3 linked regions of the Rhinolophus ferrumequinum genome follow. The protein of the gene in region 3 purifies or fractionates together with the protein of the main gene of each other region. This does not show direct contact. Links are inferred from orthologs where the notes say so. Each region holds a gene or a part of one and is shown on either strand. Other genes may lie near its edges. The genes, in order: IRF2BPL, IRF2BP1 and IRF2.

Region 1 (3,741 bases), on a different chromosome or scaffold from region 3:
ATTTTTAGACTGAGGCTGGGGGGAGAGGGTAACTCACCCCGAATTCATTTTGGCTCCATCGCTTAAGCTCAGGTTCTAGACCAGGGCACAAAACAAATCGGAAAGGCAGTTTCTGGAAGATTGGAAAACAGCTAATTTTGCAGGTGCTTCAGCATTAGTGGTAGCAATGAATGTAAATCCATACTGGGGGAAACGGTTTGACTGCAGATGAAACGGGTAATACCCTATATGAAATTCACAGCGAAAATTTGAAACAGGGCATTTAAATTCACTGCCCGAGGTGGGGTGGGGTGGGGGAGGAAGCGGGATCAGAAAGGACGCTGGTGGTTTTTAAATGCGTTTTTACTTGGGAAAGCCGGGCGGGGAAAGTAAAGGTCATCGTCTGTTTAATTTCCACCCCCAGCGCTGGACTTCCAGCATTAGCTCGGAAGGCCTCAGCTGTTGTACACACTCGGCGAGGGGGGAGGGGAGGGCGGAGGCGGGGAGGAGGGGCCCACCGAGAGGAATCTGGGCATCCAGCCGCGCATGCGCCTTTTCCGAGCAACAAGTGGGCTCTACAGAGGAAGTGTAAAAGCCGAGGGTGGGGGGGAGAGCTGGTGCAGAGCATGGCGGTGACGTCAGCGCTCCGCCCGGGCGGCATCCCGCGCGGCCAAGCCGGGGACAGCGCGAGCCGCAGCGCGAGCGGGAGCGCCGAGACGCGCCTCCGGAACGTAGAGTAACAATCACAACCCCACATTCCGGGCGAGTGCGAGCGGGAAGGGATGCGACCCGGGCCCAGGCGCCGCGTGAGCGCCCTGCAGCCAACGTGAGCGCCGCCAGCCGGTGCGGCCCGGGTGCCGGCCAGGCCTGGGGGCGGCGGGAGCCTGCGTGCGTGCGCTCTTCTCTGCTCTCGTGCGTCCTGGAAGCAGTGGCCGCGGTGGCTCCCTCCGGCCGTGCAAACCCAGCCGCCGCCAGCGGAACAGCCGACGCAGCGGAGGAGAGAAGCTCCTCTCTCGGCTCCCCCTCCCTACCCCAGCCCTGGGAAGCAGCGATTTCAGCAAGATTGGACCTGGGCACCGGGTGGCACTGCACCCTCTAGCCCTCGCCCCAGGGAGCCTGGCGGGGAGAGGACGCAGCTCGTAGGGGGACCCCCAGGGGAGAGGAAGAGACAGCCCCTTTCGAGCTTCCACGCACCAGCCTCTCCGGGGAGGGGGCCAAGAGCCAACGGCGGTCAGTACCCGGCACCCTCGCCCCCTCCCCCCGGTCCTGGAGCCTCCAGCCCGGGTCCGGGGCACCAGGAAGAAGGCGCCTGAGCTCCCCTCCCGACGAGACAGCCGCAGTAGGAGGTGGGGGCGAGGAGCGGGCTGAATTCGGCCGGTGGAGCCCCCGCAGAGAGGCGCAGCGCCGGCGGTGGAGACTCGCGCTCTCCCTCCAGCCCCTGGGGCAGAACTTTCTCGCCCCCCCCACACCCCCCCGCTTCCCCCGCTGCCGGACTCCCTCCCCAGCCTGCTGGTCCTCCCAGAGGAGAAGGCGCCGCGGAGACAGCCCGGGCGGGGGCCTACCTTTCTCAGGGCTGGCAACATGTCGGCGGCGCAGGTGTCCTCGTCCCGGAGACAATCCTGCTACCTGTGCGACCTGCCCCGTATGCCCTGGGCCATGATCTGGGACTTCTCGGAACCCGTATGCCGCGGTTGCGTCAACTACGAGGGCGCCGATCGCATTGAGTTCGTGATCGAGACCGCGCGCCAGCTGAAACGGGCGCATGGTTGCTTCCAGGACGGCCGCTCCCCCGGGCCGCCGCCGCCCGTCGGGGTCAAGACGGTGGCCCTGTCGGCTAAGGAGGCGGCGGCGGCGGCAGCAGCGGCGGCGGCGGCGGCCGCGCAGCAGCAACAGCAGCAACAGCAACAGCAACAGCAGTCGCAGCAACAACAGCTTAACCACGTCGATGGTTCTAGCAAGCCTGCGGTGCTGGCAGCCCCGTCCGGCCTGGAGCGCTACGGCCTCAGCGCAGCCGCCGCTGCCGCCGCCGCCGCCGCGGTGGAACAGCGCAGCCGCTTCGAGTATCCGCCACCGCCGGTGAGCTTGGGAAGCAGCAGCCACGCCGCGCGGCTGCCCAACGGCCTGGGGGGCCCCAACGGCTTCCCCAAGTCGGCACCGGAGGAGGGACCTCCGGAGCTGAACCGCCAGAGCCCCAACTCGTCCTCGGCGTCGGCGTCGTCTCGGCGCGGGACGCACGGTGGGCTAGTGACGGGGCTGCCCAACCCGGGGGGTGGCGGAGGCCCCCAACTCACGGTTCCCCCCAATTTGCTGCCGCAGACGCTGCTTAACGGCCCGGCCAGCGCCGCCGTGCTGCCCCCACCACCACCCCACGGCCTCGGCAGCCGTGGGCCCCCGACGCCCGCGCCCCCAGGGGCCCCCGGGGGCCCCGCTTGTCTCGGGGGCGCGCCGGGCGTATCCGCCGCGTCGTCTTCGGCATCGTCTTCGACCTCGTCGTCGGTGGCCGAGGTGGGCGTGGGTGCTGGCGGCAAAAGGCCCGGCTCGGTGTCGAGCACCGACCAAGAGCGTGAGCTGAAGGAGAAGCAGCGTAACGCCGAGGCCCTGGCGGAGCTGAGCGAGAGCCTGCGCAATCGCGCGGAGGAGTGGGCAAACAAGCCCAAGATGGTCCGCGACACGCTGCTCACGCTGGCTGGCTGCACACCCTACGAGGTTCGCTTCAAGAAGGACCACTCGCTGCTGGGCCGCGTCTTCGCCTTCGACGCTGTCTCCAAGCCCGGCATGGACTACGAATTGAAGCTATTCATTGAGTATCCCACGGGCTCGGGCAACGTGTACTCCAGCGCATCTGGGGTGGCCAAGCAGATGTACCAGGACTGTATGAAGGACTTCGGTCGGGGTCTATCCTCCGGCTTCAAGTATCTGGAGTACGAGAAGAAACACGGTTCCGGGGACTGGCGCCTCCTTGGAGACCTGCTGCCCGAGGCCGTGCGCTTCTTTAAGGAGGGCGTGCCCGGCGCCGACATGCTGCCCCAGCCCTACCTGGACGCCAGCTGCCCCATGCTGCCCACGGCGCTGGTGAGTCTAAGCCGCGCCCCCAGTGCACCCCCGGGGACGGGGGCCCTGCCGCCCGCCACCCCTTCGGGTCGGGGCACAGCCGCCAACCTGCGCAAGAGGAAGGCGTCCCCCGAGCCTCCGGACTCCGCCGAGGGCGCGCTGAAGCTGGGCGAGGAGCAGCAGAGGCAGCAGTGGATGGCGAACCAGAGCGAGGCACTAAAGCTCACCATGTCGGCCGGGGGCTTTGCGGCGCCAGGGCATGCGGCCGGCGGTCCGCCTCCGCCGCCCCCACCCATGGGACCCCATTCCAATCGGACCACCCCGCCTGAGTCGGCCCCTCAGAACGGTCCATCCCCCATGGCCGCCCTCATGTCGGTGGCAGACACTCTGGGCACCGCGCACTCGCCCAAGGATGGCAGTTCTGTGCACTCCACCACTGCGTCCGCGCGGCGTAACAGCAGCAGCCCAGTGTCGCCGGCTTCTGTGCCCGGGCAGCGCCGTTTGGCCTCACGGAACGGGGACCTGAATCTGCAGGTGGCGCCCCCGCCACCTAGCACCCATCCGGGCATGGACCAAGTGCACCCCCAAAACATTCCGGATTCCCCTATGGCCAACAGTGGGCCCCTTTGCTGTACCATTTGCCACGAACGTTTGGAGGACACGCATTTTGTTCAGTGCCCATCCGTCCCCAGCCACAAATTCTGCTTCCCT
Region 2 (3,741 bases), on a different chromosome or scaffold from region 3:
CCCAACTACGAGCAGCAGCAAAGCCAAGCCAAGGAGAGGAGAGAAATTGGAGGGGCCAAGGGACCCCCAAACTTCCTCACACAGAAGCCACGAACTCCCCCCCACCCTCAATGCATCTACCCCAGGGGACCCATCTGGGATGAGGAAGGGGGTATGTACACAGGTGGGGGTGGCACTGGGCTGGGTGGGGAAGGGAATAACTTATCCACAGCAGCGGTGGGTGGCAAGGGGGCAGGGAGCAGTAGTGGCCTAGGGGTCCCGTTCTTTCTTAACCTTGATGTCTCCAGCAAGGATGGTGGCGATCTCACCCTGCATGAAGGCCCAGGGGACAGAGGAGCCCACCAGTGGGCACTTGTCTCCACTGGGGCAGTACACCTCGCCAGCGGGGCCCTGCGCTTTTATGAACTCTCGTGAGCAGGGAAAGCAGAACTTGTGTCCGGGCACCGAGGGGCACTGGACGAAGTGGGTGTCTTCCAGACGCTCCCGGCATAGGGTACAGCACAGGGGTGCCCCAGGGGTCGCCCCGGTGCCGCTACCACCTCCGCTAACAGCTTCCGCCCCTGCGGTGGGGCTGACTTCGGCCTCCCCATTGCGGGCCACTAGGCGATGCTGGGCTGCAGGCTGGGCTGTGGAAGAGGCTGCTGGGCTGGCACCCCCCGCACGCCCTGGGCCCCCGCCCCCGCCAGGGTCCTTGGGAGAGTGGCCCAGGGCCTCGGCCACATTCTTCAGTGCGGCGATGGGTGAGGGCACACCAGGGGTCTCAGCGGAGTACGGACCACCGGGAGCCACCCAGTGTCGTTGCTGCTGCTGCTGCTCCTCGGTGGTCATCTTCCCAGCTGCCTCGCCCTCAGGCTCAGGGGATGCCTTGCGACGGCGTGCTGTGGGCGCCAGGTTGCGGGATGGGGCTCGCGGGGGTGGGCCACACAGAGCTGCAGGAGTTGGCTCTGGGTACTGCTGGGGCAGGGCCTCGGCGGGAGCTGGCTCTCGGAAGGTGCGGACACCATCGGTTAGCAGCTCCCCCAACTGGCGCCATTCCCCAGAGCCGTGCCGGCGTTCATATTCGAGGTACTTGAAGCCCGAGGAGGCCAGCGCCTTGCCAGGCTCCCGCAGAGCATCATGAAACATCTGGCGTGCTACGGCCAGGACTCCTGCGTACACGTTGCCAGAACCACAGGGATATTCGGTGAAGAGCTTCAGCTCAAACTCATAGCCTGGTGGGCGAGCAGTGGCATCGAAGGCAAATACCCTCCCCACCAGCCCGTGATCCTTCTTGAAGCGGACATTGAAGGGGGCGCAGGCAGACAGCGCCAGCAGCTGTTCCCGCACTGCTTTGGGGCGTCCGTGCCACTCCTCCGCCCTGCCCCGCATGGCTTCGTTCAGTTCTGCCAGACAGTCTGCATTCCTCTGCTGCTTCTCCTTCTCGAAATCGGAGCCGAAGATTGGACGGGCAGGACTCAAGCCGGGTGCCAGCGTCAGACCCCGGCTTCCCAGGCCAGACACCGCAGCTGCCAGCAGCCCGGGGGGCACCAAGCCGGGCATGGAGCCAAGCAGGGCCCTTCGAGCCCCCTCCGCCACGACGTCCTCACGGCCCAGTCCATTGGCCAGGCGGGACCCCAGGGTGTACTCCAGAGCAGGCGAGGGCAGGGGGAGGCGGCCCGATGATGTGGCCCTGTCATAGCGGTCCTGTCCCGAGACGCCGCCGCCAGTCCCCGACGGCTGGGGCTGTGCCTGCGGAGGCGGCAGCTGGGGCCCCTGTGCGGCGGCCGCAGCAAGGTCCTTGGTGGCCGGGTGCTTGAGGGCCGGAGGCCCAGGCGAGCGGCCCTCAGGGAGCACGTGGCTGCGCTTGAGCTGGCGGGCAGCGTCGATGAGTAGCTCGATGCGATCCGCGCCCTCAAAGTTCACGCAGCCGCGACACACGGCCTCGCTGAAGTCCCACACCATGGCCCACGGCATCTTGGGCAGGTCGCACAGGTAGCACCACTGGCGGCGGGACGCCTGCACCGACGCCATGGCCCCCGCGCGCGCGCTGCCGGGCACAGCTTTCCACCCGCCGCCGACGTTCGATCCGCGCCGTCAACGTTCGATTTGTGTCCCCAGGACAGCGCGAGCCACGGTCGGGCCTCCGGCTCGGCCTCCCCGCCGATCCAGGCCCGGCCCCCCTTCCCCGCCCCCTGGGCCCTAAGCCTTTTTCCCTCACTCCCGCCTCCTTGAAAAGGCAGGCAGAGGCACGTCGGCGCCCCCGCCAGGTCCAGGCTCTAGGCCGAGGCTCACAGGTCGGGCCCAGCGATGGGCCGCAGGCGCCGCCGCCTCCGGCTCCCGCCGCTCCCGCCGCCGCGCCGCCGCCGCCGCCGCTGCTGCTGCAACGGCCGCCACCGCCTCCACCTCCTTCTGCCCCAGAGGCCGCTTCGCAGGGAAAGTTACATAACGCGCCGGCAAAGCCTTCTGGGAAACGTAGTCCCGCCGGGGCCGGTTCTTAAAGGGGACCGCCAGCAGGCAGCCAGGGGCGGGGGAGGTGGGAGGGGCTCGCCGCTTCTCTGCAGGGCAACGCTTACCGATCCTCGCCAAAAGCAGGGAGTTCGACGCGTTCCGTGGAGTTCGGACACAAGGGTTGGGGGCAGGAACTACCACGGTTTCAGAAATTGTATGGGATGGACAGGCTTCCGCGCGCCCAGTTTCTGCTCCCACTTGCTGCGCAGCTTTAAGCAAAAATATTGCCCACTCTGAGGTTCAGTTCCCCGCCCATTAAAAGTAGGCCAGTGACTGGTTAGGAAGGCAGCCGCTCCTGCGGCGGAGCGGAGGAACCCTGATTGGATGGTTTCTGGATAGGGGACGGGAAGCTGGCAACTTGGTGATGGTGGTGAAGGTTTACTTGTAACTACATCTTCCCTAGAATCTTGGGTATCAGACTCTGACCCGGGCCGGCAATAGCCAGAGAAAAGAGAGGACTGAAGACCTCTGCGCCAAGCCTCTGCCTCAGTTGCCTCATCTGCTAAAGGGAGTAGTCGAGCGCCCCTCAACTGTTCCAGCTTTGTGGGCGCGCTCTGGTATCCAAAGGGTTACATTGCCAGTTTCTCCGCCCCCTAACTTCACTACAATTCCCAAAATGCTCTATGGGGCGGACAAACTGACGCACTTCCGCTGCCTGGGAGGTTGGGGGGGGGTGCTCCCCAGTTCCCGCTGCCAGTCCTACTCCCGACCCCTACGCCGGTTTTTTGGGGGCTCTTTCCGTGTTTTTCGAGCACGGAGTTGAGGGGATCCCCACCCTCTACTGCTCCCTAATTTGGGGGAAGGGAAGGAGGCCAAAGATGGCAAGAATTGAGGTGGGGATCATTTCTGTAAGATAGCAAGCTCCAGACCACCTTTCTCCAACCTTGAGTGCTTACTACCTGATAGGCCCAACCAGGCTCCGGAGACCATCATGTTTTTTCCTTCCTGTGTCTGGTCCAGTGCAAGGTGGGCTGGGGCCGGAAAGACAGGTCTTCAAGTTCTAACCCACATCAGCGTCTTCCTAAGCCTGGGCCCGTGTTAGGAAATACTTATCTTGTCAGAATTGCATTAGTGTTTTTCAAACTAATCAGGTGCTGCCTACTCACCTCTCCTCCATCACACTGCAACCATAGCAGCTGATTTTGTTACCCACCTGTATGTTTTTAACATCCTGTGAAAAAAAATTATCAACTTTTGCCTCATCCTAAGCAATGTGTACAATCATGGGTTGTATGTATACTAGCTACATTTTCA
Region 3 (3,741 bases):
ACATCAAGACCATCCACCTTCGGTACTCCGTCTGTCTCCAGACCCCTGTCTACACCTGTCCTGGAGCACCAAAAAACTGCAGGTTGCTAAGTTCCAATGGTATTTGAAATCGGTCTGAAAAGTTATAAATGACTGCAGGCTTGACAGCAACCTTGGTTGATTCCTGAAAATCCACAACATGAAATGTAACTATCCTCCACCTTCCCTAGCCATTCATCAAAAGCAGACCGAGTCACAGCAACAGGGAGGCCAGTGGCAGAAGGCAAATGTCAGCATTTATCCTCATATAGAAAGGCTCTGCGTTTTCTCATTCCCTAACCAAGGACAAGGAGCCCTACCTACTACCCATACTGGAGGGAGGAGACTGAAGACGGAAGGAGCGAGTAAAATGTCCCCAAGTTCCAAACTCTGTACTATGGGGTTAAAAAACGAGTGAAAGCCAAGCCGCTAATAGGTGGCAACCTCTAAAGCCAGTCCCAGGGGTGACATTTACAACTGATGAACAAGGGTCCTGCTTACAGCTACTGACCTGGGAGCCTCACCTGGAATACTGACTGGCCCGGAATACTGTCATTGCGCCCGGCTCGGGCTGCCAGCCTCCTTCCTTCCCTTCTTCCCTCTAATGGGGCAAGGAGGTGAAGGCGGCAAACGCACCAAGACCTAGAGCCAAAGAGAGATACCGGTGCGTCCAGGGGAAGGGGACAAGTCACATCCAGAAGCCCTCCGAACTTGGAAAGGCCCCCAGGCCCTGGCACGGAGAGCAGCCGAGGGCTGGCGGGCGCCACGATTGGCCGCGGCGGGCAGCGCTCGGTGGGCGAGCCCCGCCGATTAGGCGGAAAGGAAGTGGCGGCCGCGGCTTTGCACCAACCATGTTCGGCCGGCGGCCGAATGCCACTCGGGCGCCCAGAACGGGGTCGAAGGGCGCGGGGCGGGCACTCACGTCCGCACCCCGCCGCGGCCTGTGCCCCAGGTTACCCAGGGGGACGCTGGTCCCCCGAGCCTGCCAGCAGGGCGCCGCTCGGTCCCCGGAGGCTCCCCGCCCCCACCTCGCCCGCTCCGTAGCCGAGGCGGGTCAGGCCCAGCGCGCGAGGCCGGCCTGGGGGCGCCTGCAGGGACCCGGACGCGCCTGGCGCTAGGCCGCGCCCGAGCAGTTGACCGCTAGGCGCGGCGCCCTCCCGGGACGCACCACCCGAGCCCCCCGCGCTCCGGGACAAGTGCAGTGACAAAGCCCCAGGGCCAGGCTGGGCGCTGGCCGGCGGGAAGGAGGGCGCGGTGTCCCTCCCGAGCGGCGGCAGCGGTGGCCCAGCCCCCAGGAAGCCGGGCGCGCCGGCGAGGCCCGGCGCCCAGCCCCGCTCCGCGCCCGGCCGCCCGCTCGGGCCGCTGGCACCCGACGCCCCCGACCCTTCCCCGAGCTCGGCGTGCGGGCGAACCCTGAGACTGCCCCGGGCCTCCCATCAAGTTTCCTTTGACCGCGGCGGGAGGTGCCTCTCCCTCCAGGGCTCAGAGCGCAGGCAGCCGGGCAGCCGGCGGGTTCCTGCTTATTTACACTGGAGGCTGCCTGCAGCGAGGCGCCGCTGCCGGGCACCGAGAAGGACCTGCTCCCCTGCTTCGGACCTGGAGGCGACGGCGTCTGTTAACACGCACACGCACACACTCGTACACGGTAATTCTGTTGTAAAAGGAGGCCCGAGTCCAGCGGACCAGTACCACCCCCCACGAACACACACACAACACCTGGGGCGCAGAATCACACAGAGCAGGTCTGTGTCCATGGAGCAACCTTTCTGCATCTGCAAATCCAAAAGTGAAATTAAACCTCCACCGACCTCCTCCTCCTCCTCCTCCCTCCCTACCTCCTCCTCCTCCTCCTCGCAGCCTCAGCGGACCCAGTAGCAGCAGCAACAGCAGCAGAACCTGTCTCCCCTAAAATCAGATGATCCATAACAGCGCCTACTGTTCCTCCGAAAATCGGTATTAATATTTATGAACCCCAGCATTCGTAGTCTGCAAAACATCGTGTCAAAACATCAGGACACCCACACACATAGCCCCTCCAGGTCTCATAAACATGCCCTCCAGAAACACACACACGCACAGTCACAACTATTATTTGAAAAATGTTACCTCTCAGGGTGCTTTGTCACGCTACCAATACAATTCCGCAAGGTTTAAGTGTTGCTAGGGTGTATGAAATGGAAATGAAAGCCCGTCAGTTGAATAATCGCAGGAGCAAAACTAAAAGTTACTCCCCGGCTTGCCTGAGAACAGTCCAGATCGAAAGCAAAACAAGGAGAGGAAACTGCGAAGAGCCGAGGCTGGAAATCCCCCCACCCCCCGCCCTCCTCCCTGCCTGCCTCCCTCCCTCCTTTGCTCCCTCCCTCGCCTCCACTCTCCGCCCTCCTCAGTCCGCCCTTCCTCCCCAGTGTTTGTTTCAAGCTTGTGCAACCAGGAGGTGGAGGCGGAGGGAGGGCGAGCCGCCCCGCCGCGAGGTGCGGAAGTTCGCCGCCGCTGTTCATTGGCAGGCTGCGCGGCTTTCATCATTTCTCGAAAAGTCAATTTCATTTTCACTTCCCCATGTCACGGCAGCGGGAGCAACAAGCGGCTGCTCGTGAGTCTGTGGTTCGCACACCGGCGCGCTCACACTCGCCGCTCGAACACTCGAGTGGGGGGTGGGGTCCGGAGGTGACAGGGCGCAAACTTGGGTTCAGGCCAGAAGCTAGTGGCTCTAGGAGAGGGAAGCATCCTAAGGGTTGTCTGAAGGTTGGGAAGGAGGGAGGACGAGGGCTTCCGGGGAAGCAAAGGGTTGTTGCTATCTAGTTGGTGGGGCAGGTGTAACTGGTGTTTAGCACCGCTGTTTTCAGAGTGCATAAAAATTCACTCTGTAACACTACCCACTTAAGAGTAACAAAAGGAACAATTAACCGACAAGACTTAGATATTAATGCAAGAACCGGGTCAAGTGACTGGCTTCCTGAATCTTATTTGAAACCTTATCATAATTGAGGGTGTAACCCTTTGAGGAGCTGCTGCCATCTCTACCACCACCTGGCGCTCAGTTTTCCACCTAGGGCGATAAGGAAGGCCTTTCCCTGGTAACTCAATAGCTGCACACTCCAAGACTGACATCGCCTGTGCAACATAAGTTACCTTATTGCAGGATGAGATGTGAGAATTTTAATTAAAGATGTCTTGGTCATGGCTGGTACAGAAGAGAGACTTTATACTGTAGTACTTCCAGCTAGGTTCAAATTGGCTTCCTTAAGGTACTAGTTGGGCATCCTTGGGCAAGTTGCTTAACCTAAAGGCTCAGTTTTCAATGCTGTGAAATGGGGATAAATGAAAGAATGCACGAATACAGGTACAGTGCCTGTCACCTTAAGGTATCTTAGCCCAAACTAATACAATTCACTTGGGACCTACTGGGTTTTTGCTCCTTTACTTTAAAACCATAAACTCCCGCATCTAATTTTACCTGTTTCTTTCCCTCACTTGCGCCTTTATCAGACTTCTCTACCCAAACTTTTCTATCCAGAGGAAGTCCTTTCCTGAGATGCCATAGCTATTTATATGTAAACATGTCTTTAAAATCAACTCCAACATCCCTCTTTGTCACAAAAGTATTGAATTCTATGGACTGGAAAAAGAGAAGTACCCAAATATGCAGATGCAATGAGGAGACAGGTGAGAGTTAAGGATTCTGTTTTGTGGTGGTCTCAGCAGTAGCTCTCACATACATTTCTT

What was found.
Region 1: the proteins of IRF2 (region 3) and IRF2BPL purify together in Homo sapiens (affinity purification with mass spectrometry; 3 studies listed by BioGRID and IntAct, counting the BioPlex papers as one, with this or other methods). This does not show direct contact. The link is inferred for Rhinolophus ferrumequinum from reciprocal best matches to the Homo sapiens genes IRF2 and IRF2BPL.
Region 2: the proteins of IRF2 (region 3) and IRF2BP1 purify together in Homo sapiens (affinity purification with mass spectrometry; 4 studies listed by BioGRID and IntAct, counting the BioPlex papers as one, with this or other methods). This does not show direct contact. The link is inferred for Rhinolophus ferrumequinum from reciprocal best matches to the Homo sapiens genes IRF2 and IRF2BP1.

Annotation. Positions count from the first base shown.
Region 1 is NC_046289.1:22,046,614-22,050,354, forward strand, and holds the start of IRF2BPL (probable E3 ubiquitin-protein ligase IRF2BPL), read left to right. Parts: upstream 1-1,423; 5' UTR 1,424-1,560; coding exon 1,561-3,741. UniProt on the Homo sapiens protein: Probable E3 ubiquitin protein ligase involved in the proteasome-mediated ubiquitin-dependent degradation of target proteins. Through the degradation of CTNNB1, functions downstream of FOXF2 to negatively regulate the Wnt signaling pathway.
Region 2 is NC_046298.1:42,136,102-42,139,842, forward strand, and holds the start of IRF2BP1 (interferon regulatory factor 2-binding protein 1), read right to left. Parts: upstream 2,386-3,741; 5' UTR 2,011-2,385; coding exon 250-2,010; 3' UTR 1-249. UniProt on the Homo sapiens protein: Acts as a transcriptional corepressor in a IRF2-dependent manner; this repression is not mediated by histone deacetylase activities. May act as an E3 ligase towards JDP2, enhancing its polyubiquitination. Represses ATF2-dependent transcriptional activation.
Region 3 is NC_046287.1:77,251,598-77,255,338, reverse strand, and holds the start of IRF2 (interferon regulatory factor 2), read right to left. Parts: upstream 2,321-3,741; 5' UTR 2,125-2,320; intron 808-2,124; exon of another isoform or gene 543-807; intron 1-542. UniProt on the Homo sapiens protein: Specifically binds to the upstream regulatory region of type I IFN and IFN-inducible MHC class I genes (the interferon consensus sequence (ICS)) and represses those genes. Also acts as an activator for several genes including H4 and IL7.